Linked DNA regions of Danio rerio. The protein of the gene in region 3 interacts with the protein of the main gene of each other region in a pairwise test. Links are inferred from orthologs where the notes say so. Each region holds a gene or a part of one and is shown on either strand. Other genes may lie near its edges.

Region 1 (3,521 bases), on a different chromosome or scaffold from region 3:
TCGCCAGCAGCAGGAGGATATGACCATACTGCTGTCTCAGGTGTCCACAGCCTGCCTGCACTGCGAGAAAACACTGCAGCAGGTACAATCTAAGGCATGCTAAGTCACACAACCAGCATGATCAAAAGATCAGGAATTTGAGTTTGTTGTTTTTGTGCCAGGATGATTGCAGGGTGGTTTTGGCGAAACAGGAGATCAACCGGCTGCTGGAGACACTGCAGAAACAGCAGCAGCAGTTTACAGAGCTGGCCGATCACATTCAGCTGGATGCAGGCATCCCTGTTACTTTCACTAAGGTACTGTTAATCATATAGATCATTGTTGAGAGAAAAAGAAATGCATGTTACTGTCAGTGATGTACAAGATGGATTTTTTAACTTAATTTACTAACTTTAAAAAATGATGAATGGTATTTGTAGCTCTCTTGCAGGGATGCCCACACCTTTTCAGCATGCGAGCTACTTATAAAATGACTAAGTCAAATTGATCTACCCAATATAAAAATGCAAAACATATATTACTTTTGTGACAATATTGAGATCCTGTATTGAGAATCCTGTATTTGTACAATCTATATATATATTGATGTACCTTGCATAACTGTATGAACCCATATTGTGCAAAAGCCTACAACTCTGTACATATTTTTGTCGTTACCTTACTCTGATGACTTGCACTGAATGGAATCAGCCTGGGAAGTATAGTTCGGACAGTAGCTGCTGATAGCCAGCCTCAAGCACATTACCAAATGATTATCAGTCATGGTGGAATGATATTTATGCTGTTGGCATAGTTTTATGCGCATGTGTGGTTATCCATGCATCAGAAAAGGTCAAATATAGGACTGGCTTCCCTGTATGTCAATCAAGCGACAAATTTCAGTGAGGATGGATGATAGGCTTATGTCTGTTTTTTTGAATGCCACGCGGTCTACCCATGCTTGCTTTGTGATCAACCGGTAGTTCCCGATCAAAGTATTGGGCACCCCTTTTCTATGGCATTTGTTGAAAAAACTGTAGTCTAATGCAGTTTAATATGTAAATCAATGTTATCTATTTATAATTAATTTAAACAAAAGCATACAATTAAAAGTTATATTAAAGCTAATAAAAAATGAAATACAAAATGTTTCTGCTAGTTGCCAAGGAAATATTTAAAACTAATATAAACATTTATAAAACCTAATAATAAAAATAAGAGACACAAGCTGCTTTTCCACTATTATGCCAAACCGTTCTAAGAACAGTTCGTTACGGTTGCGGTTGTTTCTCTACTGAGCCTAGAACGTTGCATCACGATTACAAATCAGTCATCCCGTGGAGTTTTCCGTCCACGTGCTGAACTGTGCCGACAGATTCTGGGTGTTGACGTCGCCGGTCTGTTGCCAAGCTACCACAGCTGGCTCAGCGGAAGCGCACTAGACATCAGACATCCATAAGTAAACTACTACATTTAATATAAAAAAAATATACAAGTCTAAACGTTACAGTTTAAAAAAGTTTTAAAACCATAAAGCAGTCTCTGGCAGAGAAGGGAATCACTAGCCCACCACATTCTTATGAACATATTTTATTTATTAAAGCTATTATTTCATTGACTTGAATATAACCATTTATGATCTAATTACTAACCCGTCATCTAAAATCTTAGAATAATAAAATAGCCTTTTATTTTATTCGTGGCTAGGGCTTGATTCATTTGATTGACATCCTAGGCAATGAGACCTTTACTCCGCCTGACTGAGAGTGAGTTTATTGCATGCAACGCTGTATTTTGATGGCAAAAAACTCAGTCTGATGTGGGAGAGAACTTTACCAAATGTAGCTGTTGATTTCTAAATGTGAGTATTGTTTTTACTAAAAAAAACTAAAACAAATGTTTTATTGAAATGAAAAGAGCAATTTTCACCATTTATATGATTCAGTTAAATATAAGTTGGATGTTTATGGGGCCATGTAACACATTTTTGTGTTTGGTTTTTTTTTTTGTTCTTGGTGATCTTTAACATTATACTGGGTAGCTATGCAAAATATTTTCTAAATTGTCAAGCAGGAATTTGTCTATAGCTTTAATTACGAAGACAAAAAAATATTAAAAATAACAAAAATAAAATTTCAAAAATACAAAGATAAAAAGAGCAGCATTTTGCTAAATATAATAGTCCTATATATGGTTTATATTGCGCTGTATGTTATATTCGTTTTTATTTTACTTGATGCATTCGTTATTTAATGTTTGAATGCTGAAAGAAATAACAGCCATCATTTAAATGGTTATTTTACCATCAAAATATAGCTAGTATATTTTATATCATTATCAACTTGTAATGTAATGTATTGTATATTTATATATCGCATTTATTGTGTATGGCCATACACAAAAGCCCTTCACAATCATGAGCAGGGTCTCTCCACACCACCACCAATGTGCAGCATCTACTTGGATGATGCGACGGCTGCAACAGGACAACGGCACCAGTGCGCTCACCACACACCAGCTATTTGTGGAGTGGAGAGACCGTTATAGAGCCAATTCAGTGGATGAGGATGATTGGGAGGCCATGACAGGAAGGGCCGATTGAGGGACTTTGGCCAGGACACCGGGTTACACCCCTACTCTTTCACGAGAAGTGCCATTGGATTTTTAATGACCACATTACTTTTGATATAAAACCGCTGTGTAATTTAACTGATTGTTAAATAAAATAATTTTAGTGTTATATTTTGTATTAGTGAAAGTGCCTGCTGACTTTTGACAAGGCCTGTCAAAATATATATTTCTGCAACTATTATACAAATGCATTATTATTGTTGCATTGTCATTGTTTATTTTTCTGTACAGAGATTTGAAATATATTTATTTCCCCTCCAATCATTTTTTTTCATCACATTACATTTTTAAAATTTGCCCAGAGCTGCTCAACATATTACATCTAAATAAATAAAGGTGCTGTGACATGTATTTATGTTTAGCACCCTGAGAGAGTGGCATAAAGAATGGTTCAGAACCAAAGTGAAAAAGCGGCTACAGACAGACATAGACAAAATTGTTGGTACTGTTTAGTTTTATGCAGGCCAGTATTATTATTTTGACTTTTTTAATACTTCTTTTGTTAAAGCTAAATTTGAAAGCAATATCTGATTTTCATTAGTTTATTTTCAGTCATTTTTTATTAATCATTACTTTTTTCATGTTATTTTAGTGACAGTCTGCTGTAGATTTTATTTAATAGAAGGGTACCCGACACTAAACTGAGGCATTTTATTGATTATCCCGCTTATTGTGTTGTCATTTGCCTAGTTATAGACGATTTAAAATAAATTATTCTTTACAGCTCATTATTTGACTACATTTTTATCAGTTGTGACATGTTAGATATCCTAGTCTCCACTTTTCAATTAGTTAGAAGCAAACAGAAAGAAAGATTATATACGTGCGTGTAAATGACAGCCATATCTAATAGCACATATAATGTATTAACTACCTTCAAATATTTTTGTGCATATTGTGAGGTGGTTGAT
Region 2 (3,521 bases), on a different chromosome or scaffold from region 3:
GACATGCGCAAGTGTTTCTCTATGTTTTCATTGGAGTTGTTCACAATACTGATCCATCCACAGAGTTTGTGATGTAGTCAAATGTTTACAAACACAAGCGCAACCGTTTAGAGCTCATTTCTAGTTAATGATGTCAGAATTTACCGGCATTTTGTGATGGATGTGTGAATGCTTTTTTCCGGAAAAATTCTGTAACGTCCTCGCCTGTGTGAACAGGGCTTTTTTTGAATTTACCGGTAAAGTCGTTCTGGAAATTTTCCGAATATTTACCGGTATCACTGTGTGAAAGGGGCTAATGTCTAAATCCTAAATAGAACACACAATAAAATAAGTTATATGCACCAAGAATATAAACGACAGTACATAAATATATACTAATATTTCAGATTCTCATGCTGTATTTCATCAAATAATAATTGTGGTTGCGTCATTAATGAAAGCTATTGACCTTATTCTAAAATGCGGAAGTGCGCTTGTTTTTGCGATTGTTTTAAAACTTCAGATTCAATCGTCTATTGGAGAAATGACTAGGAATAATTAACGGTCAAACTAATTACTCTACAAACAAATGTTTGCATGACTAGTTGGCGCCAATAGCCTAGTGGTTAGTGCGTCAACATATAGCACCGAGGTGCTCGCAGTGACCAGAGTTCGATTCCTAACTCAAGGTCCTTTGCTGATCCTTCCTCTATCTATGCTCCCCACACATTCCTGTCTCTACATCTCCACTGTCCTATCAATAAAGGTGAAAACCCCTAAAAAATAATTATAAAAAAATATATATATTTTTTTTTTTGCATGACTATACAAACCAAGTAGAACAATATAATAAGGAAATATCAGTTTACAACATCAAACAGAGAAACGAGACGTTTTTAATGTCTAAAAATGAATGAAAGTGAATGAGACCGGAAGTCTCGAGTCAGAAATATTCAAATGGCTGCGCCCGCTCGTCTACGAAGAATAAGGTGAATAATATAGTTGTTTTACCTGAGTTCCTCAGCCTCTCTCTGGGCCTGCAGGGCTGCTCTCTGGGCCATGATCTCATCACAGACTTGATCATAGGGTTTGTCATTTTGATGTTCTCCCATCACCCAAACCCAAACATCATCATCCAGACCCTTCATCCACGACACACTCTTTCCTGAAACTGCATAAATTACATGTATTTCAAAACATTCACACTACTGACAATATTTTTTTGCATTGAATGAACGTAGTGACCAGCCATGCCTCATGAATATCATGGTAACCCTTTACTAAATCCTCTATTTGATAATATTAGTTAATGAATGTCAACATGTAAAAACAATGAACAACACATGTAATTTTTATGTAAACGTGCACTTGACATAAGCGTGAACATTACACTCACTTTTTTGGCAGTGCCTCTTTTGAGATGTCGTGTCAAGTTAAAATAATATAAACCTTTAAATGCAGCACCACTCATCTGTTTACAGTAGCAAGCTATTTTATTTGATGGCAACATGGTGGAGCTTTTTAAAGGTCTACGTGACTGAGACTTTTATTTCAGTATGTTGATGTACTTCCAACCAAAACGGAATATTAAGTATGAGTGTGGCTGTCTTTTGTACATCATTCTCTCACATTAAACTAAAAAGTTAAGGGAGGGTATTAATATGCACTTAGTTTGGAAGCCCTCAGGTTGACATCAACAGAAAAATTGACACTTCATACACTTAAGCGAATGGTCCAACTTGCATTAAAGATTAACAAAACAAACAGTTTTTTTTCAATGGATTATAACTTGCACAGATTAATAACTTACTTTAAAAATAACAATGAGTGCTAGCAAAATAAACATTGCAAATTTAGATCTCATGTGGACTTTCAAAATCACTCTTGACCTTGGTGTCTCACCATTTTTAGATGCAAAGACACATTCTGTATGAACGACCCTAAAGTATCTTCATCAGCCATTTAGATTCATGGACTCAACAAACCCCATAGTGTAACTAATGCTAACATGCACAACTTTAGATTTTAATAACGCATTACTGAATGTTAAACTATGATTAATAAATGCTGTGCAAGTATTTTTCATTCTTACTCCATGCTAGTAAATACATGAACTTAACATTAGTCTTCCACCGCCCATGGACCTGTAGCTAAAGTTTTTGATTGTCTTAATTTTAAAAGTTTTCTTAAAGGGGCAGCTATTTTACCCCTTTTTCAGGATTTAATACAAGTCTTTTGTGTCTCTAGAATGTGCCTGTAAAGTTTCAGCTCAAAAAACCCATCAGATTATTTATTATTCCGTTTTAAAAATGGGAAACTTGAGATGTTGAGACATTGTAGCTGTTTTTGTTGCCTGTGCCTTTGATACAAATGAGCTAGTTCTCCCCGTCTAACGTTCCCTTGTGCATGGCTTCACAATCTCTGGTTAGATTACCGAAGAGACCGAGCAGGCTGATGCTCAATCAACAGGATAAGTTAGTGCCAGGCCTTGTAGAAATGTAAAAACCAAGAGAAGAATTTTAAAAGTAACTCGATAGTGTACAGGCAATCAGTGCTAAGCGCGTGAAACTGGTGTAACGTGGTCATGTTTTTTGGCACCTGTTTAAAGCGGTAAAGTCTAGATTGGATATGCGGCCGGCCAGAAGTGCGATATACACATTAATAAAGCAGCATTTTTTTTAATGACACTGTATAACAACAACTGTTTTTACATTACTGTGACGGTTGGGTTTAGGGTTGGGGTGGGGGTGGACGTTAATAAAATACAACAAATGAGAAATTTAATAAATAATAGAAATATTTCTCGTTAACTTCCGGCCGCAAACGTATCAGCTCTAGCAACAACCGTTTAAAGCCTTGCAGCAGCATTTTGACTTCCTCTCTTCCTTATCTTATGTGTTGGGTGTCAGAAGCTTAAAGTTGTGTAGCGCCATCTAATGATAAGGAGTGATTTTGCATACTCTTCTGCTTGACGCCAGTGAAAATTGCTTGGGTTTGAATACGGAAAAACGTCTCGTAAAACGCTGACGAATAACGCAAACGAAAAGCGTCCCGGTGTGTAGGAGCCTTAAGAAATAAAATTACTATGGGAGTCAATGGGTGCCAGCAAGCAACTTTTTTAAAAAATATCTTCTTTTGTGTTAAAGAGAAGAAGAAAGCGCAAATAGGTTTTGAACAAGTGAAGAGTTAATAAATGATAGCTGAATTTTCAGTTTTCCATCGCCGACGGCAGATAGACATCACAATGCGGAGCCAGCATCACGATCCTCTGCCCCGCCTTCGTCGCAGCAGCAACCCGCTCGAGAAATACACACACTGGCATTTCATATAGCATTTCTGAAAAGATCTCCCTCCACACTATACCGCTGAAAACGCACGCGCACACACACACATAAACACACATAAACACACACACACACACACACACACACACACACACACACACACACACACACACGAGCATGCGCTGCAGCATACGCTCATGTCTGAGCTCCAGGTGACTGCGGGTGCTTTAAACACAAAACCTCAGAGAGCAGTGCACG
Region 3 (3,521 bases):
CCTACAGGTAATGCCTAGTTCAGACTGCGTGATTTTAGCCCCGATTTTGGCTCGCCGACAGGTTTTGAGAAATCGCCGACAAATGCCTAAAATCACAGGCAATTCGCTGCTTGTGAACGTGAGTGACAATCACACAGTATGAACGATTAAAGACGCGATCTGAGAGAATCGCAGATGAGTCGCCGATGCCTGTGAGATATTTGGCGTGCTGAATATCAGGAGCTGTCAGCGATTCAAACCATGCAGTGTGAATTGAGTTTTGACTGAAAATAACATCAGCGATCGCCTACAGCCAATGAGAGAGCGGCATTCACTTATATGTGCGTGTGTGTATACCTGCTGCAGGCCAGCGGGAGGCTGGGGGAGAAGTTAAAAGCGCTCTTTTTGGTTTATTTGGACCCACGAAATGGAGGAAAAACTAGTGGAGGTTTGACAGGACTCAGGAGCAACCGTGTCTGTTTGACATTTCATACAGAAAGAAATTAGTTTATTATCAACGTTGAGGAGAAATGGCTAATTCCCTTTAAACCCAGGTGAGCAAATATGTACATGTTCTACCCCATTAAAAGGCTTCTTTCTCATTATGTAGTTAATAACAAAAGATATACTACATGTTTTTGGCTGTGAGACGTAGTTTGGACGAAGTTGTCGGCGATTCTCCCTATAGTAAAGTCATGCAATGTGAATGTCCATGTCGCTGAACCATCTTGCAGTGTAAACAAAGCAGCGACGAAACGCTAGCCCAGATAGTCATGCAGTGTGAAAACATCTGTGACACGACTACTTTGAATATCATGCAGTCTGAACTTGGCATAAGTGTGTTGGAGCAGGGTTGGAACTAAACTGTGGAGGGCTTCGGCCCTCCAGGAATTGAGTTTGACACCCCTGCCTTAAAGGGACTTTGCGTGAAGACTTTGGAGGGGGGACAGGGTGAAAAAGTGTTTTAATTTTGGAGTGCAATACCTAGTTCAATCACTAGGTGTCAATCTTACACACTGCACTTTTAATTATGATGTCAAAAATATTTATAATTACCTACAAACCAGCCATCGTCACACTTCTCTAGGACCTGAACGATGTCTCCTTCTCTCAATTCCAGCTCATCTCTATTCTGGGGTTTATAGTTGTAAACTGCTTTATACCTGAACGTAAACAAAATAAAACCATTCCAAATAATGGACTTTCAAATTTTCCAAATTATAAATAAGTACAACATAGCTGGATTAAACCTGAATATCTGAATTGTACTGCTTTAAAAGGACAATTCTCTCAAAAAAATGGAGAGTGTCATGTTTTATTCTGCTTCATGTCAAGTACTCACGGTTGTCGCAAATGACCCATGTTCGCAGGAGACTGGGATGTGGAAGAAATCACAGTGTTGGGCTGTGAAGACTGTGTCCTGGCCACATCCTATAAATAAGTGTTAACAATGTAACACACAGTAACAACAACAGTGTTTTCAAGTTGCTGTTTTTCATTCCCTTTTCCCTAAAAATTATTGTACCAAATGGCTTTATTAACACACATGCAGCATCACTTTTACATGATTGTATGATGTTACTAGTGTACAGATTGTATAGCATTTCTTTCCTCTTTTGGTTTTCACGGTGTATGTATTGTTTAATGAAAAATCTGACTTTTGTGGAAATTATAAAACACTTTAATTCCTTGATGAATAACAAGTTTAGTGTTTATTTGACATTGAATTTGCAATGATATGCAAGTGCAACTGTTAGTTTACATCAGTGTAAAGTATCTTTGAGGGGGACTTTTTTATTATTTTCTTTAAAGAAACGTAATTATGCAAACTTTAAATAGACGAGACACAAAATATGCAAAATGCAAAATAGCTGTTCCCACTTTATCCCTTATACCAGTGAACTTACATGATCTCTATTTGTTTATGCAAGCACAGTGTGTAAACATTGAATCATACTGTATTATCTACATGTATAAAGCTGGTGCAACTTGTGAGCTGGTGAGCTTATGCTCACACATAATAACCTACTGAATATTATATGCTAGTACAAATGTAAAACAGGAGTTTAGGAAATGGGTACCTACACATTTTTTCCACATTGGAAAATACAAGTGTAACAAGAATTATTTAAGTGTATGGTGTACTTTTTTTTTTTTCTTCAGTTTCCTCAAGCAGACATCTATACTGCAAAATTCTGAAACTTACACCATCAGATATGGAAATTAATTTGGTGCTCAAAGCCCTACAGTGCATTATTTACAGTACTTTCTAGCTGTTGAGTGTACATGGGTTGTATATTAATTATGGTGGTCCATTGTGTGATTGACTTAACATAGGTTCATCCTGAAAATGTACCCCTTTATACATTTCTGGAGATCTCAAATTATATAGCCAGAGGAATGTATGACTGCATTTCGTCTTTAAAAGCTTTGAAAGCTTCGGGGCTGTATGTCACAGTTTCTTTTTCACACTCACCAGCTGACCACTTACCTGTGTGGACAGCTTTTCCGCTGTTACTAGTTGGAGTGGCAATGACTGACGACGGGGTTTTGAGTCTAGCAAAGAACAGTTTCAGAAAGCAGCTAAAAAAAACAATTAAAAAAATCTGCATCGCTTTTTAAAACACTATCGGTTGGGTTTAGGGATGAGTTGGGTGGGGGTATCGGAGAGACGGTCAGTCAGTTGACAGCGGCCTCTGGTAGATTTATGCAAGAAGAGCAGGTGCAAATGACACTCGTGAGAAAATTTTTAGATCTCAAAAAACATACACCGCAGCCTCTGGTGGATTCGCGTAAACAACCTGCAAAAAAAAAAAAACATAGCTCCTGGGACGTATTTAGCATTCTCCAGAAATATAGGGGTACATAATCAGAATGAGCCTAGGTTGAATTGATTGAATGCACTTCAGAATGTCAGTTATGGTTTGGACACCATTAGAAGGGCACATTATTCAAAGAAAATAGGGTGATTTCAGATACAGCTTGTTTTAGCAGACCTATATGTAAACGAAACACCAACTAAACCATTTTCATAGGCCAGTAGCTGCCTAGTTGCTCGCCTATACTGTATATACAGTATGTGGACAGTTTATGTTAAGTACATGAGTATTACGCAGAGTGTTACGCAGAGGATTGTGTTTTACAAGTTACTCAGAAATGCGACATTTTTACACACTCAGAAATAAAAAGGTACAACATCTATCACTGAGGTGGTACTTTTCAAATGGTTCACTTTTGTACCATACAAGTGGACATTAGCAGTTTTTGGGTACACTTTTGTTTCATTAAAAGGTTCCATTTTGTACCTTTAAGGTAAACTGTTAGACCCTTTTTTACAGTGGAATACGGTTTCCTTTTATTACAGCAAAACACTGGCTATTTTAGATTTATTTACTTCATAATCTTCAGCAAGGGCTAAGTACTTTTTAGGTATTAATATGTTTAAGGACCTTTTAGAAACAAAAATGTAACTTTTAAAAAGGTACTGCCACAGTGACAGAATTTGTACCTTTATTTCTGAGTGTGCACTTTATTAAGTAAAC
Region 4 (3,521 bases), on a different chromosome or scaffold from region 3:
TCTAAACACCTTAAAGTGACATTCAAGGCTTAACTAGGTTAATTAGGTCAACTAGGCAGGTTAGGGTAATTAGGCAAGTCATTATATAATGATGATTGGTTCTGTATACTATCAGAAAAAATATATATCTTAAAGGGGCTAAAAATTTAAAAAACTGCTTTTATTTTAGCTGAAATAAAACAAATAAGACTTTCTCCAGAAGAAAAAAATATTATCAGACATACTGTGAAAATTTCTTTGCTCTGTTAAACATCATTTGGGAGATATTCAAAAAAGAAAAAAAAAAATCAAACGGGGCTAATAATTCTGACTTAAACTGTATGTCTACATAGCAATCCCTAATTTGTCATTTATAAGGGGGGAGTTTTCTGAGGGAACCCTGGGTTCGAGGATATTATGAGTTCAGGGCTTTCTCCCGAGACAGCTTTCCAAAAACGTTTTAAAATCAATCATCAGCTAAGTGTGAACTCTTGAATTAAAATATACTGAATTAATGTGATGTAATGTCAAGCAAAACAAAGTTCATTTTGAGTTAGGAAAGAGCTTGAAACGTTCTCTCCAGCTGATAAACACCTTTAAACTACCATTGGTCAATGACGATTATAAAAAGGTAGATGGGCTTTAAGTGTGTGTTAGTATTAAGAGGGAAGCCCATATATGCATGCAAGTTGAATGATTTGCATGTGAATATATGTTTATCATAGCCAGTGGACCTGGGTAACAATAAGGTAATACCCCCAAATCCAACCTTACCATAATTTTTTCCAGCAATGTTGACATAATTTTCTTAGCTATATTAGCTTAAATATAATTTGCTGATGGAGGTACAAAAACACAAAACATTTTCATGCAAATACTTTTTCCCTGACTCAAGAGTCCAATGTCTCCAATGTAAATAATCTTAAACTTTAAGAATAAATATTACAAAATGTTTTTTGCAGATTTTCACCCTAAAGAAACTGTTGTAAAATAATAAGGTTCTTTCTTCATTTAGATGTTTTTCATAGAACCATAAGTGCAAAAAAAAAGAACCTTGATTTAAAAAGAAGTGTATAATATATCTATAAAAGCGAGTAAAGGTAATCTGGACAAGTTATGTGGCTTCTGGGTTAAAAAAAATCTAGCAATTTTTTAAGAATTGTGAGAATTGTTTATGCGTTCCATGCAATTATAATGGGATTGTAATTGCATGAAACAAAATAAATTCTCACAATTCTCAAAAGTGTTTTTCACAGTGATGTCATACAATATCCTTTTTTAGGTCCTCAAAGAACCTCCTGGTGAAAAGTTATTCAAAGAACAATTTTCATTATGTGGTTTCATTGTGGTCTGGTGATGTTAACGGCTCTTCAAGGAATCAGCCATACCAATAAAGAACCTTGATTTTGAAGAGTGTGAAGGCTTATGATTATCTGCAGAGCAACAAACAAGCGTGCATCATAAGTTGGCGTCATACAACAAACAAGATATCAAAATCACTTTCCTTTGTTTAAAAGCTTCTCTCGCTTTCTCTCCCTCTGTTGTTTTTTACATCCCCCTGTCTCTCTCTCTGTCTTTAGTTTCAAATGAGAGACATGGACCTCTACACTGCAGCACACTGTAACTATAGCAACCTGTGAATTTCACTCACTTTCTGTATCATTTCTTACCAATCACACTGGTGAAGGCAATTGAGTCACATAAAGAACCCATATATAGAGTCTGTTCAACTGGACAGTGCAAGGGGAAAAAAAAACAGGCTTTTAGCGTACCGGAATCAACAAATTTGACTTCAACTATTAGCTCCTCAAAATTCAATAATGTAAACCATACAATTCTGTCACTTCACGTTCTAAATGCGTTCTGTCATTGAGGTTTTCAGATTAAATTTTCATCAGTGACAGAATATATTTCTGAAATCATCTGCATACAAATGATGCTTCTGCATTTTGCATGCATGAACCCCCCCCCCCCTCCCCCCTCCCCTCCAATATCTGACAAGAACAAAGATTTCAATTCCAGAGGTGACGTTATCATACTCACAGTAAACATGAGTTGACAGCCACCCAGAATGTAGTCCAGGAAGGAGTAGTCTCTTGTAATCTAACAAAAAAAAACACACACGTCTTATATTAATATAAGCACATCACATAAGCCATCCTTCCACAAAGGTTGAAAAATGGTTCATTTGAAAATTTAGTGAGAACAACTGAGTCATGTTCTGTTTTAATGCCTGAATCCATCATAGGGCTGATTAAATGGTGACGGTGCAGGAGTGACAGGTGTTTTGTGCTGATATTAATACATGCTATTTAAAGGGGATTTAGCACTATAAAACTAATCTGTCCTTTCAGAGAAGCTGCAATTAAAGACCCTTTTATTTGTAATACAATTGTAATTAAATAAGCCGGAACATGGAAGGTGCTTTAATGTGCAAGCAGAATGTATTTAATCATTTCTTTTGCCTTGTGAATAGTGAATGTGTCACCATTCTTTGTTTCTTATGTCCTTACCTTGCATGACTTCAGAATTATGATTCCCGAGTTTTTGTAACTCTTTTTTTTCTGCTTCTTGGGATTAATGCATTCAAACTCAACCTGTGAACGGAAGGTACTGTGTTACTATAGTGCAGGATAAATAGTTTTTGTATGTATTAGACAATGTTGACAACATTAAATAGTGTTTTCGTAAATACATGTACATATTGATTGTTATTCATGTCTAAAATGATTTATATTATTTCAGTAATTTGTATAACATATCTTTAAGTTTTACAGTAATTCAAACCCCAATATCCAAAACTTACCCCAGACAGTTTTAAGGAAAAAATTTAAATGTAATAATAATAATCATAAAAAAAGAAAATCCAATCAAACACATTTCACATTCCACAACTTCAGACTTCAAAAGCTTCTTCAGATATTGCAAAATTAAGCAGATTAATTCCTTATTATGTGTGTGAGTTTTTTAAGAGCCAAACATGTTATAAGGTTTCTTAACCAAAGTCCAATGGAGGGGCAATTAACATTTATCCAACACAGAACAATACATCATCTTGCTGGTATTAAACACAAATTTATTCCAGTAATTTGGAATGTTTGCATAAAATAGTAAATATTAGCCATAAAAAACTCATTTTGGTGAAGAATTAAAACAAATAATACATGTTAATATACACTGATTGGCCACTTTATTAGGTACAGAATTCAGAATTGCCCTAATCCTTTGTGGCATAGATTTAACAAGGTACTAGAAATATTCCTCAGAGATTTTGGTCCATATTGACATGATAGCATCACGCAGTTGCTGCAGATTTGTCGGCTGCACATCCATGATGCAAATCTCCCGTTCCACCTCGTCCCAAAGGTGCTCTATTGGGTTGAGATCTGGTGACCCTACCATCCGAATGTCGTAGTAGAAATCGAGACTCATCAGACCAGGCAACGTTTTTCCAATCTTCTATTGTTCAATTTTGGTGAGTCTGTAATTGTGAATTGTAGCCTCAGTATCCTGTTTTCAGCTGACAGGAGTGGCACCCGATG

What was found. The genes of interacting proteins can lie anywhere in the genome.
Region 1: the proteins of sorbs3 (region 3) and trim23 interact in binary tests that used the Homo sapiens proteins (3 or more experiments, as listed by UniProt). The two-hybrid records come from large-scale screens. The link is inferred for Danio rerio from reciprocal best matches to the Homo sapiens genes SORBS3 and TRIM23.
Region 2: the proteins of sorbs3 (region 3) and sh2d4a interact in binary tests that used the Homo sapiens proteins (3 or more experiments, as listed by UniProt). The two-hybrid records come from large-scale screens. The link is inferred for Danio rerio from reciprocal best matches to the Homo sapiens genes SORBS3 and SH2D4A.
Region 4: the proteins of sorbs3 (region 3) and cpne2 interact in binary tests that used the Homo sapiens proteins (3 or more experiments, as listed by UniProt). The two-hybrid records come from large-scale screens. The link is inferred for Danio rerio from reciprocal best matches to the Homo sapiens genes SORBS3 and CPNE2.

The regions. Positions count from the first base shown.
Region 1 is NC_133185.1:12,464,525-12,468,045, reverse strand, and holds part of trim23 (E3 ubiquitin-protein ligase TRIM23), read left to right. Parts: coding exon 1-82; intron 83-161; coding exon 162-296; intron 297-3,521.
Region 2 is NC_133185.1:7,480,440-7,483,960, forward strand, and holds part of sh2d4a (SH2 domain-containing protein 4A), read right to left. Parts: intron 1,151-3,521; coding exon 991-1,150; intron 1-990. UniProt on the Homo sapiens protein: Inhibits estrogen-induced cell proliferation by competing with PLCG for binding to ESR1, blocking the effect of estrogen on PLCG and repressing estrogen-induced proliferation. May play a role in T-cell development and function.
Region 3 is NC_133183.1:45,217,469-45,220,989, forward strand, and holds part of sorbs3 (vinexin), read right to left. Parts: intron 1,411-3,521; coding exon 1,322-1,410; intron 1,143-1,321; coding exon 1,036-1,142; intron 1-1,035. UniProt on the Homo sapiens protein: Vinexin alpha isoform promotes up-regulation of actin stress fiber formation. Vinexin beta isoform plays a role in cell spreading and enhances the activation of JNK/SAPK in response to EGF stimulation by using its third SH3 domain.
Region 4 is NC_133193.1:19,062,501-19,066,021, reverse strand, and holds part of cpne2 (copine-2), read right to left. Parts: intron 2,577-3,521; coding exon 2,493-2,576; intron 2,083-2,492; coding exon 2,023-2,082; intron 1-2,022.